2 linked regions of the Oreochromis niloticus genome follow. The protein of the gene in region 1 purifies or fractionates together with the protein of each later gene. This does not show direct contact. Links are inferred from orthologs where the notes say so. Each region holds a gene or a part of one and is shown in the gene's direction. Other genes may lie near its edges.

Region 1 (7,501 bases):
ATTCACAAAGAAACCCCCGGATCCTCCCACTGACATGATCACTCCTTCTTCCCCACTGCTATCAGACTCCTGAACAGCTGACCTACCTCAAATGCAATTTACACATCAGGATAATTTTCACACTAAGTTCATTTTGTACATTAAGCTCCTTTGTACATCCATTTACATTGACAACTGCATACCTCACTTATCTTCATTGACTTATTTTTGTACTTATTTATTTATCTTTCACTATTTTTTATCCTTATTTATCTTGTTCCTCCAACTCTTACCTTCCATACATTTGTGTATGGACAGCAAAGGAGGGTTTTCATTGCAGGGAGAAATGCTTTTTCTTCTATACACATGACAATAAGCACTTTGAATCTTTGAATCTTGAATCTTGAATGACCGCTGTGGGCAAACCTCCACCCGCCCCATTGCTGCTAAACAGGTGACAATAGATTTAAGTGCTGCTGAATCTTTGATTTTATTTATTTTCTGCTGTGTTTTACTTGCATCTATTTGAAAGAGTGAGTGTAAACACAAAACATGATTTTAGTTTATATGCTGGAATATGCAGACAATATGTTTAAATGTTAAACATATTTCTTCAAGTCAAAGACTGTTGCATATAATTTAATTTTTGCTTGATGCAAAAAGTTAAAAGATTAAAACTAATGAAACAAGTTTTAAAAAGAGACTTTTTCATTTGATTCAGTTTTATATGATGGTTTATGGAGAAAAAATAGAATTGGGCTGAAAGGTCTGTTGCTTTATTACACATAAGTAATGGGATTACTTTCTTAGAGAAGTGATCAGTAATTAGTAACTAATTAGTATTTTCAAGTAACTTGACCAACACTGCTCATCACATGACCCAAGGTGTGAAAAGGGTGTGTGTCATCATCAGCAGGTGAAACCACTCAAAGACCCTGACCCCCATCATGTGACCTACTGAAATCAACTGACCCAAGGTGTGAGTGGGCGTTAAAACGACCGGATTATAGATGGCAGACAGTTGGTGTGGTAAGCCCCACCCTCTGTTCAAAGATGGTCGCTCACAGTGGACATAGATGCTTCGTTCACTCCTCTTTCAAACTGTTTTCTCTGTCCACAATGTGAACACTGGCATTCTCAGAGAGTGACCTTTGAACTTTGGATGCAGATGAACAGCTGCATCTAAATTGATTTCATGAGTCTTTTACTTACTCTCAAAGTGTTAAATGCTTTAAGGAAACTCCTCAACATATAAAACCCCAAAAGAGCACCGAGATGGTCCAGCCAGATGCTCTTAGTACAGCCGAGGTCTCGACTGAAGCATAGAGGAGATCGGGCCTTCACAATGCATTTCTTACTTGGAAATTCCGAATGGGAATAGTAGAAAGTAGAATGGGAAACTTCATTATCTTCAATGTGCTATTGCTGTGTGATTTTTATTACTATTAATGAAGGATACTCAACACAGCTAACATTGTTAGCTGGTGTTAGCTGAGGTTAGTTCATAGACTGCAGACTGTTAGACTGTTTCTAAATACTTTCACTAGTCCAGACCTAAGTTCACACGGGAGTTCGGACTTCCCGAGAATGTAGCGCAATCGTTCTACAATTGTAACGGCAGTGTACGTGATGACATCACAGCTCCATCCCCTCTTAATTTAACTGTGATTAATATTTGCAATGGAAATTACACATGACATTAAAAAATTACACATGATGTCGTAGATTTCGTTAAGAAAAAAAGATAATTTAAAAAAGAATCTTAAGCACTTTGGCAAAATTCACTTTTATGTATCATCTGTTTCATGTCTAATAAGCGTCATACAGCTAAGCATAATCACTACATGACAGAAACGCAAGCTTCATCTCTTTTAATAAACACGGTACACATGTATGCCTGAACAAAACCAGTGAGATGTTGGAACACTTTTATTATTATTTTAGTAAACAGTCAAAACTTACAGCAGACAGCTGCTGGGGTTTGGAGGAGAATTGAACAAATATTTCAAATATAATCTGATCCTTTTTGGAGCAGCTTTCAGGATCTCCACGTATTAACATGCTGTTTTTAGACTTGATGGATAGCATTAACAACCTGCTAGTTGCAAATAATCATGTGCAGTTCCACATGATTATTAACAGACAGAAAGAAAACATATTACTGATACAGAAATAGTTTTCTGTACGAGATCGCTGCAAAAAGTGCAGCCTTACCTAATGTCCACCCTACTTTTACTCATTTTATATTAAGATTTAAAAATCTAGTTGGTATTGGTATGGCGAGTAACCTTCAGTAATAGTAATAAGTCACACAGCAATAGGACATTCATGTAGTTGTAAAAATTATGACAATAGATTAAGTAATCCAAAGTATTCAGTTACAAATATGTTACAAAATACATTTTGGGGCATGTATTCTGCAATCTGTAGTGAAATACATTTAAATGTACCCTTCCCAACACTGGGAATCACTTGCCACTTGATATTCGTACTTCAGAGTCTATACCAGGGGTCGGCAACCCGCGGCTCCGGAGCCGCATGCGGCTCTTTAGTCCTTATACTGCGGCTCCGCGTGGTTTGGGAAAATAAATTAGAAGTATTTAGCTGAAGTGTATTTTATTTATGTTAGTTCTTTTTAACTCGTAGTTCTAAATTGGAAGATTGTTGTGATTTTGAAATATAAAAATAAAATTATATTCTATTATTTTTTTCATCGCTCAAAATAAGAGTCACACTCGCGGAAGCCGGTATACCCGCCGAAACGCCGTGCATTTATCGAGACTTTCAACCCTACGGATCTTCGGATACACATTATGTCAGCAGCTGTTCTCCACCGTGAACTATGATAAAGACAAACACCGTGAGTAAACTGACTTCGTATATCCCCGATTTGCGGACTCTGTGCACAGAGGTTCAGGAGCAAAGTCCCATTGTAAACATATCACGGCAGACCCGACGATGTTTCCATGAACACGCTTTTGAGCATCTCTTTATTGAGCACTTTTCACACACGGTTGCTGTACGCATACAGCCGGCTGTAGCCTTTCAGCTCACAGCCCAACATACACCACCAACAACACAACAGCACAGATAGCGCAGACGTAAAGGCGGCGAGGCGTGATTGCGGGTGTCGCTCAGGTGCGTCCGCCTCCCCTGCAGCGGCGCTGCAAACCACGCCCCGCCGCACGCGTTAACCAGGTAAAATACATATTTAGGCAGAATTTTGCAAATATCTATTTTTCATTTTTCAGCAGCATAGTGCTTTTTTCCAATTATTTTTTAAGAGTCAGGTCAAGGCTCCAACAGCCCAAAGGAGATATAAGGGTGGCGGCTGACAACAGTTTTTGTTTGCTACATGGATCATTTTAGTTCAGCTGGGTGTCTTTCCTTTTGTTATATTTCTTTAAGAGTTCAAAATGTGTTAATTACGTAAATAAAATGTAATTTTCTCTGTAGCACTTCATGGATTTCATAAGCAACACACCTTAGTTGTTCACACAAAGCACAAAGGTAAAAAACAATATATACAGTGTTATCTTCATTTTAGATGTCAAAAAGTATTTGCGGCTCCCAGTGTTTTCTTTTGCGTGGAAACCGGGTCCAAGTGGCTCTTTGGGTGTAAAAGGTTGCAGACCCCTGGTCTATACAGTGTTTCAAATCTCGTCTTGAAACTCACTTTTTTACGCTGGCTTGATGAAACTCAAAGTTCAGTTTGAGCACCATCAGGTTTGTTTTGTGTTTGTTTTGTTTTTATGTTAAATATGTTGCCTTTGCCTCATATCATGTGTTATTTTTCCATTTTCTCTTGTTCATGAACTACTTGTGAAGCACTTTGGGCAACTTTGTTGCTTTTAAATGTGCTATAGAAATAAAATTGATAACTGATGTTATGAAGTGGCTGTTTGGTTTTTCCAGGTCTGAGCTGTCGTCGCTGTACTGCACAGCTACACTAGGTTGTTGACTTTGTGGCCGGTGTGCTTGGAGAAGCCTCTGCTGAGTTTCTCTGATACCCAGGACCTCCCTGCCGTGAGGTCACAGCCGTCACGTTACGCCATATTGAGTGTCGCTGATGCTGCGTGTGTTTTATTGTGGTACAGCACCATTGCTTTCAGGCGTTGGTGGTATAGTGGTTAGCATAGCTGCCTTCCAAGCAGTTGACCCGGGTTCGATTCCCGGCCAACGCAGTCTCCCTTTTACGACCGCTGAGACAGATTTCGGTTGTTCTGTTTCTTCTTGTCGGGTTTCAGCGGCTCCCGGCGCTCATGAAAGAAAAGAATCTTCCTTAAACTGCTTAAAACGATTCTCTGACACTCAGTGAGACGCTGCCGCTCCCGTCCGCAGGAGGGCGCTGCAAGCAGAGACTGTTACTTTGAAAGGATTCCTGCCAGACAGGAAAATGAACTGTCGATCTGATTCTCTAGTTTTATGTAATTTATTTTTTTATATTGTCGTATCTTTGGCACAAACTGCACCCTCCTTCTGTTTTTCATAATGTTCTTTAATGTCGCCACAAAGAGCGGAAGTGACCGCGGGCGCCCCGGAAGTAGCTCTCGCTGTTTTCTTGCGGTGCGGATCGGCGGAGCTGCTTTCTACCCCCCGACCTCCTCCCCGACCTGCGCTTTGTTACCGGGCTGCCGGGCTTGACCGGGCGCCTGTGTCTCACCCTCCGGGCGGCTTCACACTCCCCGGCCTGTAGCCGGGACTGCTCCTCGACATGGCGGCTGGAGGCGGCGCGGCTCCTCCGCATGTTGGTGATGTTGAAGAGGACGCTTCTCAGCTGCTCTTTCCTAAAGGTGAGTACCTGCAGCGCGCGCACGCACTCTCGAACAACTACCGACACGCGCAGGCGGTCCGTGGGTGCACGTGGGTACACAGACCGAGCTGCTGTCTGTGGGTTCTCTGAGCCTGTGTGCTGAGTGATTGACAGATGTTAACCCCCTCCTCCTCCTCAGAGTTCGAGAACGCGGAGACGCTACTGAACTCCGAGGTCCACATGTTGCTGGAGCACAGGAAGCAGCAGAACGAGAGCGCCGAGGACGAGCAGGAGCTGTCCGAGGTCTTCATGAAGACCCTCAACTACACGGCCCGCTTCAGCCGCTTCAAGAACCGCGAGACCATCACGGCCGTGCGCAGGTACGCCCCCCCGGCCCCTGCCCAGGTCCGAGGCAATCCAGTTCTGACCCCTGTCATCTCTCTGTCTTCAGCCTCCTGCTGCAGAAGAAGCTCCACAAGTTCGAGCTCGCCAGTTTGGCCAACCTGTGTCCAGAAGCCGCCGAGGAGGCCAAAGCCCTGATCCCCAGGTAAGTCCGATCCACGTCACAGCAGGAACAATAAAAGCCTTTGTTACAGCTGCAGTGTTGAGGTACAGGAGCTGCTCCACAGTTCATAACTAGCTGAGTTAAACACACAGGCAGGTTCAATTCAATTCAGTTTTATTTATACAGCTCCAAATCACAACAACAGTCGCCTAAATCCGCTTTATACTACAAGGTAGACCCTACAATAATACATACAGAGAAAACCCAACAATCATATGACCCCCTATGAGCAAGCACTTTGGCGACAGTGGGAAGGAAAAACTCCCTTTTAACAGGAAGAAACCTCCGGCAGAACCAGGCTCAGGGAGGGGCGGGGCCATCTGCTGTGATTGGTTGGGGTGAGAGAAGGAAGACAGGATAAAGACATGCTGTGGAAGAGAGACAGAGATTAATAACAGATATGATTCGATGCAGAGAGGTCTGTTAACACATAGTGAGTGAGAAAGGTGACTGGAAAGGAAAAACTCAATGCATCATGGGAATCCCCGGCAGCCTACGTCTATTGCAGCATAACTAAGGGAGGATTCAGGGTCACCTGGTCCAGCCCTAACTATATGCTTTAGCAAAAAGGAAAGTTTGAAGCCTAATCTTGAAAGTAGAGATAGTGTCTGTCTCCCGAATCCAAACTGGAAGCTGGTTCCACAGAAGAGGGGCCTGAAAACTGAAGGCTCTGCCTCCCATTCTACTTTTAAATACTCTAGGAACAACAAGTAGGCCTGCAGAGCGAGAGCGAAGTGCTCTAATAGGGTGATATGGTACTACAAGGTCATTAAGATAAGATGGGGCCTGATTATTTAAGACCTTGTATGTGAGGAGCAGGATTTTGAATTCTGGATTTAACAGGAAGCCAATGAAGGGAAGCCAAAACAGGAGAAATCTGCTCTCTCTTTCTAGTCCCTGTCAGTATTGGCCTATAATTAGCTAAGACTGCTGGGTCTAGAGATGCTTTTTAAGTAAAGGTTTAACTACAGCCACCTTGAAGGCCTGTGGTACATAGCCGATTATTAGAGATAGGTTGATCATATTTAAGATTGAAGCATTAATTAATGGCAGGACTTCTTTGAGCAGTTTTGTAGGAATGGGGTCTAAAAGACACGTTGATGGTTTGGAGGAAGTAATTATTGAAGTTAACTCAGAAAGATCAATTGGAGAAAAAGAGTCTAAATGAATATCAGTGGTACTGAAAGTAGCTGTAGATAATATTACATCTGTGGGATGATTATTGGTAATTTTTTCTCTAATGATAAAAATTTTATTTGTGAAGAAGTTCATGAAGTCATTACTAGTTAATGTTAAAGGGATTGTTGGCTCAGTAGAGCTCTGACTGTTTGTCAGCCTGGCTACAGTGCTGAAGAGAAACCTGGGGTTGTTCTTATTTTCTTCAATCAGTGATGAATAGTAAGATGTTCTGGCTTTGCGGAGGGCTTTCTTATAAAGCAGCAAACTATTTCTCCAGGCTAAATGATGATCCTCTAAATTTGTGACACGCCATTTCAATGCCAATGTTCACATTTTGGACAGAGAGAACAGATGGTTTGAAAGAGGAGTGAAAGAAGCCATTTATGTCCACTGTGAGCGACCATCTTTGAACAGAGGCGGGGCTTACGACACCAATTGTCTTCCAGGGGCCAGAGCAGGCGACATTGAAGGAAATTTAAAACTGCTGGCTAAAGGTAAACGTAAATAAAGTAAGATCATAATTCACGTCGGCAGTAATGACACCCGTTTAGGCCAATCGGAGGTCACTAAAATCAATATTGAATCGGTGTGTAACTTTGACAAAACAATGTCGGACTCTTGATGCATTCTCAATCATCCAGGAAAGTAAATCTCCAAAAGTTGAATCTGTTCATCTGGACGTAGCGTTTTGTGGGAGAAACGTTTCGTCACTCATCCAAGTGACTTCTTCAGTCTCAGCTGACTGCAGGTTTCCCCAAACCTTATAAACAGTACATTTGCATAATGACTGAAACCAGCCCACTGAAGGAACAATGGGCTGTGAGGTCAGTTCCTTAATCATAATTATGCAAATTCCCATGACCATTGATCAACAATCACTGACCAAAACCCACTGATCAAAGAACAGAAGAGCTTCCTCGTCAGGCCAGGACTCTGCAGTCTATTTACACCTACAGGCCAGTGGACACTCTTTCAATGATGAGGATGTACACATCCTGGACAGGGAAGAACGCTGGTTTGAGCGC
Region 2 (7,796 bases), on another chromosome or scaffold:
TCTCTTTTTGTTATTGATGATTTGTTATGAGCTCCTTTTAAAAGCAAACACTGAACCAAGAACATTTCCAGCCCATTAATAGTGGAAGACAGGCTCTGATGTGTTAAGACACTGTGGTCATGTTGTGATTAAATTTTTGGCACCGTACACTTCTCCAGATTTCTTTCTGACGATGTGTTAATGATGTGTGTTATTTGTTCAGATGGAAGAAATTCCAGGAGAAGCCCGTGCCAAATCCAGCTCTCAGCTCTGTGGGTGTTTGGGCATCGCAAAGCCAACAAAAGGTGACGAGGATGTCATGGCCGTCGATTTATGATGATGAACTTTGCGGGATGGGGCGGTGATATTTTCACATGTAGTTTAGGTTTTTGAGTTATTGTTTCCTCTTCTCATTTTTACTTTGTTTGTTTGTTTTCTCGTTTGTCTTCTTTTAGTTTTTCAGATTGTTTTTTTGTCCCCACCATCTGTTTTGTTTATGTGCACATCTGTCTTGTTTTTCTCCCGTTTCTAGTCCCAAATCACTCCTTGGTGTATAAATAGTCCAGTCCTTGTGTCTGTTCACATGTGTTTTCTACATTTTCTTTGTGCTCACGCGTCTCTGCTTGTTTTTAACTTCATGTGTGTTATTATCTGAGGCTGTCCAGTGGGATACATTATATCTGCATTAATGTTGCTCAAGAAGTCACATGATTAAATTGTAGGTTTTTCATTGTCAGGAGAAAAAAAAGGTAGAAATACATCAGTGTGCTTTCTTGAATTGTAGAGAAGCTGAATGTTATTCTGTATTTCTGCTAAAGTGACTACTCAGTAATTTACTTCTGTTTTACCTTGTCGCGTGTGTCAACAAACTGAGTAAAAGCTGTTTAAGATGTTTTTTCTTGATCATTGCACATTTACCTCAATTTTCTGAGATCTGAAAGAAAGATTCTGTGATTTAATCAAAAAGTTAACTACCAAAATCTGGCAGTCGGATTAATAAAAAATGAAAATAATTGGTATTTTCAGTTCTCCTGAAAGTGGTTTTATGAATGTCATCTTAAACAGTTTCCCTCCAGACTTCCTGAGGCCTATATTATAAAGGAAGTTCAACACAACCAGGCTTTCTTTGCCTTAGCTGGCTTGACAAAACATAAAACCCCAGTTGGAAATAAGCACTATTATGATCAGTTTTATTAAAAACTATAAAAATTAGTATCCCACGGAGACACAAAAATCCCTTTAGTTTGTCATAAATTAGTATTATGAAATTACTTTGACTGAACAAGTATTTTTGGTGTGTTCTGTATTTTTGTAGTCACAGTTCTAGCAGTGAAGACAGATTAGGCTCAAGTATAAAAATATGCATATATTATCTGTATTACCAAATCCATATATGCATGTTTACAATGCACTGATGGTGCGATACATAGTGTGCCTCGCTGTAACTTTAGAGCTGAGCTTAGCTTTACCTCTAGGGGCAGATGGCCTCACATTTGACTCTACTCAGTGACCCCAAGGTGACTGTAAAATTAGCCCACATTAATATTTGTGCTGATATGCTATGTTTGCATAACTGCAGAGAGCTCTAATATGTTCTGATAGCACTTCGGGCTCGAATATAGTCATGCACTGAAATACAGTCAAATGACATTGAGCAACATTTAGTAAGTGCGATGTCTGAAAATTCCTCAACTACTCGCACTGATAATCTCCAAAATCACTCTTACTGGGTTGACTGATATCGCAGGTCCATGAGTAAACTGTCTTATGAGTTTGCTCCATATCTTCAGTTTTCGTTTTCTGTAATTTGTCAGATTACAACTGAAAAATCTGATCTAAAAATCAAATGTAAAATTTGGTGGTATTCGAGCTTCAGCGATTAAAACAATTCAAGTTGGAGGATTTTAAATGACTCTTTTCTCCCCTCATGTTTTTTTTATGATAGCTATCACGGTCCAGATTCAAAAGCATTCATGTGCTGCTCTTTATTTACCTGTTGCCATGGGGAATCCTGGTATCAGAGCTTCACCGATGATCGCTATCCTCCTTCACGCATGCATTCTTAACTCAGGGTGAACATAATCAGGGCTGTTTCAACTCTCTAAGTTTATCGCAACTCAGAGTTTATGCTAAGTTCCCGAGTTTGTTGAACCTGCTTTCTGGAACGGCACACTGGTTTTTACAGATGTTTTTTGTCCTAGTTTGAAGTTTCTGTCATGAACTCATTTATGTGTCCATGCACTGTGACTCCTTTAACATCTTCCCTCTTCCAGAGGTCCTCTATCCTGAGTTATCATGTCTATGTAGGGTTTAGCTTTCACTGGCTACAGAAACAATCCATGCCCGAGTCTTGATAATATATAAAAGCTGCTGTAATTCATCCTAGCTTTTTGTTTTACGGCTCCCTTCTGTCTGTGTGTTTGTATCCATAGGGAATCTGCTTCCAGCCATTCAGAAATCCATCTGAAAGCCACTGTGATACAGTATACCCAGAGAAAGCGCAGAGCACATCTACCCCTTCACCAGTTATAGGCTATGATACTCACACAGCCAGTGAATACATTGTGGACTACGCAAACTCAGGAATGACTCTTGGTCTTTATACGGAGGATGAAAGTCCAGTTGAACCTGCAAAGACTCCTCCCTCTCCTGGAGAATCCACAGCATTAATTTCCTCAGAGAGCAGCACAGCCAACCCCTATCGAAGTCAGAGTTCTGTGGAGAGTCCTGTCCCAGAGACTGCTAAACAGAGTAAGCATGTGCCAGTAAAACAGCAAGAAAGGGCATTACTTAAGACCATATATGTCACATTAGACATGATTGAACAAGATCATAACAGGTGAGAGCAGTGAAAGTAAATGATGCAGATAGATTTGCAGTCAGTCAGCTGTAACAGAAATAGATATGGTTTGATATGACTGTGTTTGTGTCATTAAGTTGCCTAGCACTGTGGAACAACAGGATACAAACATATATGACTGTTTTTGTGTACGTAGTAACTGCTTTATTAGGTCATCTTAATGTATTCAGCCGTGCAGCAAGAATAGGTTTCATTTAATGTGAAGTGATGAAAAGATTTAAGGATATGAGTTATCAACACTGATAATATGATATAGTGTTCCCAGGATTTAGCATTCTAGACATGCTTTGCTATGACACTGATCCTGGTTTTATGTATAGTCTGTATTATAGTATTGTGATATTTTGTTGTAAATATTTTAGCCATGTATTATATGCTTGATGTTTGTTGAGGTGTGACTCACTGCATTTTTTTTTTGCTTTACTGCTTTGTGTCATTTGTAAACTGGAGCAGTCATTAAAATGTAAATTTTGTTATTGTGTTGATAAATATTCACGCAGAAGCGTCATAAGGACTGTCATATGTCTCGTAAACAGACAAAAACAAAAGAGTATGAAATAAAGTGAATAAATGTTGTACTTGACACCCTTTTTTGTTATTTGATGACAAAATGTTTGAAGTATTCTGCATGTAATCATATATTAGTGTGAGCAAGGCTTTGTAATGTGCATGGCACTGAGTGTAATTGGAGAAACCACAGTACACGTTCATACGGAAGGGAGCCAGCTCACTTTTATTTTCCACTAATGCACTGTTAGACTGGTGAAAGGGAAAAAATGTGTTAATATTTCAAGCTAAATTATGCACACATACACCAGTGTTCTATGGTGTTGTGTGGTGTACACTCACCTCCTGCATGAATTTGGCATAAACAACAGGATTGGATCTATCCTGTCTTGTATCAGTGGTGCAGGCTGCTGCTGCTGACGTAATGGTTATGGGGGACACTTTTTCGGCACGATATCACAAAGCTGAGATCATCTCAAACTTATTTCTTCAACATGACAGTGAGTTCCCTGCATTCAAATGGCCTCAACAATCATCAGAACTTAATCCAAAAGAGCAGCTTTGGGAGGTGGTGTTACAGGGGATTTCCATCATTGACGCGGTTGGCAAATTTGCACCAGCTGTGTGATGACATCATGTCAATATGAACCAAAATCTCAGAGGGATGTTTCCAGCACTTTGTTGAGTCTATGCCATAAATAATTAAGGTATCTCTGGATGTAAAAAGGGAGTCCAATCCACTACTTCATTTGGATTTCAATCTCTGTTTATTGTACTGCATACTTCTCACTTGATCTGGTTGGTGTAAAGAAATCTCCTGAAGTTGCCAATAAACTTTTGAAAACCTTTAAACAGAGCCACAAGACATGAGACAACATGCAATAAAATAAATACTAGAGATACAGGATATATGTATTTTTTAAGCCAAGTAATATCTGCCCCACAGCTAAAAGAGATAATCAATCAAAGACATGTAAAACTGTCAAAATATATTAAAAGAAAGGTATGAAATATAAAGACAGAAAGAAACAATTACACATTTTTGTGTATTGTCAACAGGTGGGGGAAATAAAAAAGAACTATAGGTCTACATAACGAGGAGAGAGGAGCTAAACACATATAGAATAGAATAGAATAGAATAGAATAGAATAGAATAGAATAACCACTTTATTGTCCTTCAGAATATAAACCAGTTAGAATCAGAGTTAAATTTTGGAGCATTTACTCACCATCGAACTGTAGAATATAAATAACAAATAAATTAAAAATTTAAAGCAGTGTTGACAAATAAATAAAATAATAAGGTAAGAACGTTTGTGGGGGGTTTTGTGTTTTTTTTCTTCTTTGTAAATAAATGAATAAATGAACTAGCTTTCAAGCTGCTGCAGCAACCATTTCAGTCCAAAGGGTGGCGATAATGCACAGATACGATTTGCCGCCGTAGAAAAATACCAGTAGAAGAAGAAGAAGGATCACTGAGGTGTTGCTAGCTGATTGCTAAAAACCTAGATTTATGGTAGACAAATGAAAAAGATAGCTGAATTTCTTCAGAGGCTGATCTGCAGTGGATCGGAACAGCCTGCGTTTCGTGTAAAATGCCTCCTGGTCTGTCAGAAGGTTAACCGGGCTTAAACGTGCTTGGTGATTCTCCTGAATTAGGAGCTAAAGGGCCCTGAGTCCGCAGTGCTCGGGTGAATATCTACCCAGCATCTGCTGTAGGGGGAGAGAGGCAGCATCAAGCAACGGGGTTATTGATATTACAAGCTTTTAGATATTACCAACCTCAACTCAACATGTCAAATAACGGACCTCCTCCTCGATGGCGCAATTGTCCTAGAAGAGGGCAACCTGTGGCAGGTTAGTGTAAATTTAACCAAAAGTGTTTTATTTACCAGATGAAGCTATTGCTACTAGTTAGCTTCGTGCACTGGTGTTGCTGTGATGCTTGTTGCCTGATATATATCACTTATTTATTATTTTAGACTGTCAGATTTAAGTAGCAGTAATGGGCTGTCTTGGTTCACGTTCGGTCTTTAAGTACAGACAGATTACCACATATTTAAGCTCTGTTTCTCTGTTGTAAAAATGAATACTTTATCTTTTAAATGAGGTGTAAATCAAAGCGCCGATTTCATTGAATGACGTCAACAAATTTTTTAAGCTTGATTTAGTTAAAAAGGTTTGTTCATTTAGTATTTATATGAAATTAACTTAATTTTGGCATTTTTTTAATGAAAATTTCTCTGACACTGTATTCGTGCGCGCTCTTTTTGCTAGGTCGCTAACGGTAACTATTTAGCAACGTTTTCCGCTTCTTTTCAGCTTTTAGTGTGACTTTAATGTTGAACAAACACCAAGTATGGGAGTCTATTAGTTTTAAAAGAAAACGTTTTAAAAAGAGCTTCAGAAAAGTGCTGCTAAGTGGGTATGCTTCACCGTCAAAGAATCACGTGTCCAAACAAACCGGGGCTATGGCTTGAGGAGCTCACGGCGAGCATACTGTATGTGTGTGACACGTTACTAGTGCTGAGAGGCGTTTAGCATGAGAAGCATTTTTTTTTAATGTATTTGAATGCCACCTTTCTTTCTCTTTTGTTTTTTATAATCTATAAACTCTTAACTGTTATTCCAATTGCTGTTTTTGTCTGATAATACTATGATTTCCAGTAGGTATTTTGGAATTATTCTGGTATAGTCTTTGTATTCTTCTGCTATCTGTACCTGAGCTGTGGTAACGCACAAATTTCCCCGCCGTGGGATCAATAAACTCTTATCTTATCTTATCTTATCTTTATCTTTATCTTATCTTATCTTATCTTATCTTAGGTATGCACCCATCAGCTGCTACATCTGTGTTTGAGCTTCAGGTTTCTTTTAAGATCCAAAATAACTGAGAAAAAAAATGAACCAAAGTATCGGAGAATTCACTTTCCACCAGTTTCATACAGTTATTAGACGTTTTAACTGACTGTAGCTGGATTTAATTTTAGTTGTGACTGTTTCTATCATATTGCGCAAAAATCTGTGTAGCTTGTAAGTCTGTGGTCACTTGATGTTTTCTGTGAAAGACTTGTTAACCTGCAAGAGACGGACAATGACGTTCTTTCTTTGACCTCCGAATCTTTCATTAAAAGCCAGACTTTAGAAAAGTGTCTGATTTGTAGTGTTGCCTTTGTAAAACCTAAGCCAATCAAAAAAGGTGGATCAAGAGCATGAGGGACAGAAATGCTGTACAGCTGGGGTATCTTTAAAACTACTTCCCAGCTTCTTTTCCTTGACATTGATGAAAATGTCATTGAGGTTAAGGAAAGGAGCTGTTTCTTGGAGTGTAGTGTCTTGGAGCAAAGACAGACAGGTGGACAACTGTACTTCATAGCTAGAAGTGTACCAGTGTTTTCTGGGACTGGTCAGTGATAGACAGCCTGAGTATATCCTAAATAATTCAGTGGTCAGTAACAGACTTTGGGAATGTGTGCAATTTTTTCTACATTATGTTCTGTATTAATAGTGCAGCTGACTGATGTGACAGGCTTGAAAGGGTAGATGTAGATAAAACTGTGTTGATACGAATGGCAGTATGGACTGTGGATATAGATCTGTTCCTATATTTATTCCTTATTGCAATGTACAACTGTCAATATAACAGCTCAACATAAGTAGAAGGAAATTATAAGGTCAAAAGTAGACAGTGCAAGTGGATTGATCCAAGTTCCCATGCTTAAGTGATGCAAGGCTGTCTTGTTAACACTTTATACAAAAGTATTGATGTTACGGTTTTATTTTGCCCATTCATCATTGTTATCATTACAGTTATGTGATGTTAAGACATTTCTGTAAGACCTGCAATTGCAGGCTTGTCTCCTCTCCGCCTCAACTTTATAACAGTGCAACAGCTTACACAGATGCTCTGTTTGAAGGCACAGCTGGAGTTGGTGGCACTTTTATTCCAGGCTTTTATTCTAAGAAATTCAGTGTAGTTTACACAAATGGATCCACAGTTTTATTGGCTATTAACCAAGTTCTTTACAAAACAAATGCACTTGGGGTGCTGTCTAATGCTTAATTGAATGTGACCTTGACAAATACTTAGTCAGTGATTTGATTTTTTTATTGATTTTTCTGAATTTGTAGATTTGACTTGGTATGAAGTTAGACTCTTAGCCGTAACCCTAAAAATTAGTCATTAAATTAGGGACAAAGCCGCTGTCCCTGCTCATACAAGATAGTTTCAATGCTAGAATACTATAGGATTTTTGTTTCATTCATTACATTTCTCCTTCCTAGGTAAATTCCTGCCAATGAAAACGATGTTAGGTCCCAGATATGATGACCAAGTTGCAGAGGAGAACAGATTTAATCCGAGCATGCTGTCCAACTATTTAAAAAGTCTAAAGGTAAGTACCCTCAGCAAGGACTGAAGTATTAAAGTGGCACACAAAACCTTCCCTC

The links. Proteins that work in one complex are often made in the same cells at the same time.
Region 2: the proteins of polr2d (region 1) and rngtt purify together in Homo sapiens (affinity purification with mass spectrometry; 3 studies listed by BioGRID and IntAct, with this or other methods). This does not show direct contact. The link is inferred for Oreochromis niloticus from reciprocal best matches to the Homo sapiens genes POLR2D and RNGTT.

What each region holds. Positions count from the first base shown.
Region 1 is NC_031979.2:40,020,945-40,028,445, reverse strand, and holds the start of polr2d (DNA-directed RNA polymerase II subunit RPB4), read left to right. Parts: upstream 1-4,501; 5' UTR 4,502-4,693; coding exon 4,694-4,772; intron 4,773-4,931; coding exon 4,932-5,112; intron 5,113-5,183; coding exon 5,184-5,279; intron 5,280-7,501. UniProt on the Homo sapiens protein: Core component of RNA polymerase II (Pol II), a DNA-dependent RNA polymerase which synthesizes mRNA precursors and many functional non-coding RNAs using the four ribonucleoside triphosphates as substrates.
Region 2 is NC_031980.2:14,941,470-14,949,265, forward strand, and holds the start of rngtt (mRNA-capping enzyme), read left to right. Parts: upstream 1-4,777; 5' UTR 4,778-5,140; coding exon 5,141-5,204; intron 5,205-5,708; exon of another isoform or gene 5,709-5,848; intron 5,849-7,631; coding exon 7,632-7,741; intron 7,742-7,796. Other genes in the region: interleukin-6 receptor subunit beta, read left to right, coding at 203-284, 2,412-2,822.